Linked DNA regions of Saccharomyces cerevisiae S288C. Changing the gene in region 2 together with the main gene of any one other region gives a genetic interaction. Each region holds a gene or a part of one and is shown on either strand. Other genes may lie near its edges.

The links.
Region 1: mutations in YKE2 (region 2) and PAN3 together harm fitness more than expected from each alone (negative genetic interaction), as found in Saccharomyces cerevisiae (6 studies listed by BioGRID, with this or other methods).

Annotation. Positions count from the first base shown.
Region 1 is NC_001143.9:389,740-394,335, forward strand, and holds PAN3 (PAN-complex poly(A)-binding subunit PAN3), read right to left. Parts: upstream 2,541-4,596; coding exon 501-2,540; downstream 1-500. Other genes in the region: glutathione peroxidase GPX1, read right to left, coding at 1-144; URA6 (bifunctional uridylate/adenylate kinase), read right to left, coding at 2,787-3,401; MIN9 (Min9p), read right to left, coding at 3,407-3,634; SKA1 (Ska1p), read left to right, coding at 3,982-4,596.
Region 2 is NC_001144.5:547,048-549,856, forward strand, and holds YKE2 (tubulin-binding prefolding complex subunit YKE2), read left to right. Parts: upstream 1-1,964; coding exon 1,965-2,309; downstream 2,310-2,809. Other genes in the region: snoRNP complex protein NOP56, read left to right, coding at 1-564; PBA1 (Pba1p), read right to left, coding at 806-1,630, 1,717-1,722; ubiquinone biosynthesis protein COQ9, read right to left, coding at 2,464-2,809. UniProt on the Saccharomyces cerevisiae protein: Binds specifically to cytosolic chaperonin (c-CPN) and transfers target proteins to it. Binds to nascent polypeptide chain and promotes folding in an environment in which there are many competing pathways for nonnative proteins.

The DNA of each region.
Region 1 (4,596 bases), on a different chromosome or scaffold from region 2:
CAAGTACTCTAATTCCTTGTATTGAGGTGTGAACGCACAATGAGATGCTACATTGACTATCAAAACCACTTTGTTACGCAGGGAGTTGAAGGGGAATGGATTTCCGTTTTCATCTATTGGTGAAAAAGAATAAAATTCTTGCATCGTTACTTATAAATATTGTGTTTCTCCGCTTATATTCCTTATACGGGTTCACAATCAGAGAACCTCGCCGTGCACAATATCACCTACATGACTAAAATATATTTGTACATTACTGTGTTATATAATCACTTAATATTGTTCACCATAAGCAATCTCTGTAGTAGAGGTGAGCCCCGGCTTTAAGTTCTCTTAGATGTGGCGAACAAGGGATGAATCGCTTACCCTATAGAATTAGGGAACAGAAGGGGAAAGCAAATACGGAAAATTTTCCACATGAAGACGGTAGTGGGGTATGTCAAGGGGATACTAATGTATAATTAATATATATGTGTGTATCTACATTATTTGGTGTTGTTTTATTGGGTGATGGATCGAAAGGTGGATTCTATCAAGTCCTTCAACTCCTTATAGGATATAATAATACAGTTTAACTCATCGGGCGTTACCAACATTAACTTTTCTTGAATACCAGCGTCTAATTTGTTCAAACATCTTAGGACATGAGTTAAATCCATTATTGGTTTCCCATTCGAATCCACTTGATGGAATACGTAGTCATAAAATAGTATAATGGGGAATTTAGTCCCAGATTCGGACCAATTTATGTCTATTCTTGATTCGATTCTACCAAAAATGCAATTTAGCTTGTTGACCAGCCTAAATAATCTGCCATTTTCTAGTTCTCTTGATAAGACAGACTCCATGTATTCTGTATAGGTTTGTGACGATTCCAGGACCATGAACATCTTATCATAAAAGTGACTAGTAAGATCATGAATGCTCTTTTTGGAATCGCCGTTGTCTGATATCAGATACTTGAGTACATCCTTGAACTTATCATCGATCTGTCTCATGTCATCAATTGATTGAGGGGTTATTTCCTCCAATCGATATTCTTTAGGGGCAGTGTTGTTATTAGAGTTTTCAATATTAATGGATAGGTTAAATAATAGCTCTCCTAAATATTTGTAGTCTAGCTGTTGTTGTCCCTCTATGGTACTTCCGCCGGAAGATACTACGGTATCAGTATCATCATTGAACAAAAGGTCCATAAAATTGCAGTGTGATAACTTGATTCTCCCTGGGTCCCCAGTAATCAAAACTTTTCTCCAGTTTAATGTATTGCCAATACTCAAGTTTTGTGAATGGATAGAGTTTATTACATTGGTGAGTTGAACTAAATATATCCATAAATAATTATTCGTTATTGGAAACTTAGGGAAATTAACAAAGTGGTAATCATACAAAGATAGCGAGTTTGGGTAGTAGTCAAAGACCAAACAAATAGACAGATCACCAAATTTAGTAGTTTGAAAAATGTCCCTAAACTTTATCAAATTTGTACAATTAATTTTTGACCATATCTGATATATTTTGGATATTTTGTTTGGATTCATTGACTTATCGATGTTAGGAAGCCTCTTCAAAACGTAGGCTTTACCGTCATAATTGGAAAAAACTTTGAAGAGCGTAGTTTTATTTAAAAAATCGTTATTATTGAAGTTCAATGGAACCAAATTAAAATAATCTTGTACAATACTTGGTATAACTTTACCTGAAGAGGGGAAAACCTGCAAAATCGATAAGTTTTTCTTGGTTAAATCTTCTCTAATATTGTTTGGAATGAAAAGCTGATCTGCAGACCTTTCATTAGGCTTTAATAATGATTTCAATGATGATGGCTGTTCAGGTGCATATAGGTGATACTGTAGAAGACTGTGAGGAGGCGGATAAATACGTGGGTACTTAAGATTACTACTCTCTATGGGTGGCGGTTGCATAGGAGGTGGCACATTATTAGCCATACTCATATTGTTACTATTATCATCAGTGGCGTTTATATTTATGCCACCAGAATTTGCAATGGAGGGAAATGGAAAAGAATGTGCATTTGCATTAGTGTGAATTGAGGAGGTTGAAGACGGAGTGAAAATGGGGGCATTGAAGGGGTCGTAATTGGAACTCGAAGCGGTAGTTGGTATTGATATGCTTATATTACTATTATTGTTATTGTTATTCACTAACGAGCTATTAACTATCGGATTAATCATCGGATTAACTGTAGAAGCAGTAGCAGAGGTAGCTGCCATGGCGATATTGCCAGTAGCATTTGTAGCAGCGGAGGTGGTATTCGTCACAGTGGTTAAGGAGTCACTACCGACTGTCATCGGAGTGAAACTTGCGGATACTTTAGCATTGAACTTAGGAACTGATGTCATGGTCGGAGTTGTAGCCTCACCCACATCTATTGGAGGAGGAACGTCATTTATGGTAGTAGCGGTAGTGTTATCGCTGTGTTTGAAAGGGCAACCTTCTTTCTCCTTTTTGCAGTAGCCATAAATAGTGATATTTCTGCACGGAATATCCTTCGCCCAATCAGGATTGATTTTGTCCATGGCGTAAGATACGTCTGACTAGTCTTTTAGGCTTACCTATCATCGAAACAGTGCTCCCGCCATTGTTATTATTGCTCTTTTAATTCATAAACCAAATAATTTAGCAGTTTATTTTAAGGTTACCCTGTAAAGGTCTGATATGTAGGGGAGGGCATATAATCATTTTAATATATATGTATATATTCTTACATATATATATAATATCGCCGTAACTTATAGCGTAAACTATATAAAATACGTCTTAGTCTATAAGCTATCACGGATAGCGTCTTGGACGTCTTTGTACACATCTTCGACGGATCTGTCGCAACGAACACGGACGACTTTCGATTTGGTTTCAAAGTACTCGATGACGGGCATACTAGTCTCCTTGAAAGTGTTAAATCTCTTCTTAATGGACTCAATGTTGTCATCGCTTCTACCACTGGTCTTGCCACGCTCCAATAGTCTCTCTAACATGATATCTTCAGGGCAGTCAAAGAACAGGATGAATTTGCTTTCAACGATGTCTCTTTCAAAGGAAATGGCTTGATCCATCTTCCTAGGAAATCCGTCAATTAAGAACTTATGCTTGTTCGCCTTGACGTTATCGGAAATAGCGTTGCGTAAAAGCGCCAAAGTAATCTCTTGAGGGACAATCTGGCCCTCTTTGATGCAGTTCTTGATCAATTCCCCATATTGGGAACCTGCTCTGCCCTGCTCAGCACGTAGAAGGTCTCCGGCTGACAAATGGACAAATGAATAGTCCTTAACTAGTTTTTCACACTGAGTACCCTTGCCTGCACCGGGTCCTCCTAGAACGAAGATCACGGAAACTTGGTCAGGCGAGAAAGCTGGCTGTGATGTAGTGGCAGCTGTCATTTGTCTTATTCAAGAAATTCAACTGGTTCGTTCTTTTGATAGTTTACCGAAATAACTGATGTCACGAGTGCTAAAGTTCCTACGAGTACCAACAATTTGCCTTTGTGTTTACCCTTGCTTTGACTTTTGTTAGCGCGTGGTACGTTTACGTTGGTCTTCGAAGGTGCTGTATTGTGGAAAGTTGGTTTTTTCGAAGAATAAAATCTCAGTATAAACCTGTAGCGTGGATTCATAATATAACTAAGCTAACATAAAAACGGGAGAGGGTGTGTGCGACTAAAGGCAAAGACAGGAATGCATCGCTTTAAAAGATCACCATAACTACTTAAAAGTTTCGTTAACGTGGTGAAAAAGAAAAGAAAAAGAAAAGTGAAAAAAATAAACCTAGGGTTGAAAATATAATCAGTTAGGTGTCATGATATTGATACATTTATTTCTATAGGTCTGAGAGTACTAACTTAGGGTATATGAGGGGTGTTAAGTTGGGATGATGACGCATTAATTAAGAGTTCATTATATGAGGATATTGTATACAATGCAAGAATAGCGCCCCAATCCCGGCCAGGTATAACGTGCAAGCATGAATAAAGAAGAATTATTGGGTTTTCTACTAGATGACAGTATTGATAGCCAAAAAAGATGCGTCACGGATCAGCAGGCCTACTCTAATTGGTTAAAGAATGATAATGATGAACGTACGGCCCATGAGGAAAGCTCTTCACAAAGTACGATAGCCGCATTGAATAAGAAGAAGCAGACAGAAGCTGCTCAAGAAGATATAGAAGAACTGTTAAACGGCTTAGAAGGCATTATTGGAGGAGCCGACCCCCGTAATCTCAAGAGTAAGTCAAAGAGGAAAACCAAAAAGGGCGGATCGAAACCAAGGGAAGAAAACGTGAATACGGAGAAACATATTGTAATGCTCGAGGTAGAAGATTTTAGTGATATGAGCACCCACGAAGATGTCAACGGAGCAAGTCCGTCGCCAAATCTGGACCGGTCGAAGAAGAATGAGAAGCGAAGGAAAAACGCCAAGGAGCTGTCATACGATGAACTAAAAGACAAACTAGAAGTTACCACTCGCAAATCACGTCTTGAGTGCAAAGACTTGAAAAAGAAAGTTCATGGGCTCGAAAGAAGGAACCTTGAACTTGAACAGCGTTTAGAAGAGCTGAAGATTGAGAACCAGACTTTG
Region 2 (2,809 bases):
CACGCAGGTTCCCTAACTAATTTATCTAAGCAAGCAGCTTCAACGGTTCAAATTCTTGGTGCTGAAAAGGCTTTGTTCAGAGCTTTAAAAACTAAAGGTAACACTCCAAAATACGGTTTGATTTACCACAGTGGTTTTATTTCTAAGGCCTCTGCCAAGAACAAGGGTCGTATTTCTAGATACTTGGCTAACAAATGTTCTATGGCCTCTAGAATTGACAATTACTCTGAGGAACCATCTAATGTTTTTGGTTCCGTACTAAAGAAACAAGTTGAGCAAAGATTAGAATTCTACAACACTGGTAAGCCAACTTTGAAGAATGAATTAGCCATTCAAGAAGCCATGGAACTTTATAACAAAGATAAACCAGCTGCAGAAGTGGAAGAAACCAAGGAAAAGGAATCCTCAAAGAAGAGAAAATTAGAAGATGATGATGAAGAAAAGAAGGAAAAGAAAGAGAAAAAATCGAAGAAGGAAAAGAAAGAAAAGAAGGAAAAGAAGGACAAAAAGGAAAAGAAAGATAAAAAGGAAAAGAAGGATAAAAAGAAGAAAAGTAAGGATTAAAAGGAACAATGAATCGAAATAAAGTATATCCCATCTTTTTGTGTACTTTTCTTCCCTTTAAAGTTTTTCATATATATATATATTATCTTTTATTCCCTTCTAATATTCTTCTTTAGGATTTGGAAGCTGTATATTGTATATTTAGAAATATTATTAAATAAAAAAGTCATATGTTATTTTGAGCTTAAGTACCCTCTTATGCCTCTTTCACTCGCCATTACTGACATTCTGTGATCGCCATTCATATATATAGGCCTGATTGTGCACCAATTGCCGCGCTATCACACCTCCATAAGCGATAGCATTCTTCAGAATATCTTGAAGGCTCAAAACCAAGCCATTGACCGCACAAATCAACTAAAGAACCCATGTCAGACAACGAAAGTTTCTCAAATCCATTAGGCCCCTCACTAGGCGCTACAAGACATTTAAATTTCAGTCCCTTACTGGGACCGACAATCAATTGTGTTAGCACACTTCCTATGAATCCCGTTATAAATTCTGGTGGTTGTAGTGTACATTCATTTTCCGTCATTACCTTCATGCTGGCGATTTTATCAGAGGTGCCAATTACTATTATATCAGGGGAGAACTGGGCTAACTGTGATATGATAGATCTACTTATCATGTTACCAAAAATCGGCGATATACTAATGAAATTCTCCTCCATAGAAAATAATAACGTCTTTCCAAATGAATAAATCGGGAAAGAAAAACCATATACTGTTTCATCGGCGGTGTCATTTTTTTGATCAGGATCAACCTCGTTTGGAAAGTTTTCGTCGTAATTCCACGAGTGTTTACCTGAAGATTGGGGAAGACTTGGACTTTTCACCGTCAATGTAGTTTTAATTTCACCAATAGAGGTTAATTGAAGCAGATTTTTGGGGAATAATGGGTTCATTATCTTAGTAGTAATGACGGCTGTCGAATATTGAGGAACATCCAAGTCCTGAGGAAACTCAACTTTTGGAACCGGGCAGACTTCTAAAGATTGCAGGTTTTTTGAAATCTCTGGGAGATCTAGCAGATGTTTTGGTTCTGGTAAGTCATTCCATTGTTTAAACTTCAAAAAGAATCAAGTAACATAAGTTAGTCAAACCACTCTACTCTAGCAAAATATGATGGGGAAAAAAGATTATTGTAACATACAAGCATCGCTATAAATGAAAATTTTACTGTAGTGCGATGATATCTTGGTCGCTGTTTCTTATTATTTCGCCTGTTGCCACCTATTGCCACGCAACTTCTTAAATTGATTTCAATGAAGTCTGAAATTTTGATGCGAAAGAAAAAAAAAAGTAAAGGCAATAAAACTTCATCAAGTCAAACGTCATCTATAAATAATCCCACTTCAGAATTGAAAAAGACTACATTTGAGTGGAGGAACAAAAGCAAAAATGTCTGAATTAGGTGCCAAATATCAACAGTTGCAAAATGAGTTAGAAGAGTTTATTGTGGCCAGACAAAAATTAGAGACACAATTACAAGAAAACAAGATTGTAAATGAAGAGTTTGACCAATTAGAAGAAGATACACCTGTGTACAAATTGACAGGCAATGTCCTTTTACCAGTTGAACAAAGTGAGGCACGTACCAACGTGGACAAAAGATTAGAGTTCATCGAAACAGAAATTACAAGATGCGAAAAGAACATAAGGGACAAGCAGGAAGAACTAGAAAAGATGAGAAGCGAGCTAATTAAACTGAACAATACAGCAGCTTCCACTGGCCCAGGAAGGTAAAACAAACTCACAGGTCCTCGGAAAGACAAGAAAGCGCACAGTACCAATAAATCTGCCCAAAATAAAATTTTCTTTTATATACAATTATGTAACTTACAAACAAAATACCTACGCATTTCACTGTCCTAAACTTCAAATTGACATGTAAGATTGCTTAACCCCTAACTAATTGAGATTTGATTAAATTTACCGTAGACATTAACGTATACCAGGCAAACTCTTCAGTATTGTTATAGTACTCACCCAAACGCATGACCCTATGTAATTTATCCTTTGCAAAAGTAAACGTTTCTTTGTAATTGTGGGATTTATCCTGAGCCATAAATAACTTTGAACCAATGTAGGTGCTCGAAACAGCCAATCTCTTAGCATACCATGCAGAATCATGGTGGTCCTTTTCGTTGGAAAAGTAAATCATATCATCGGACAATCTGTGTAGTTCAGGAATTGCAGTTTCAAAGAGAAAGGCGCTTGGAATAGCCAATTGTGACATTAGTTCC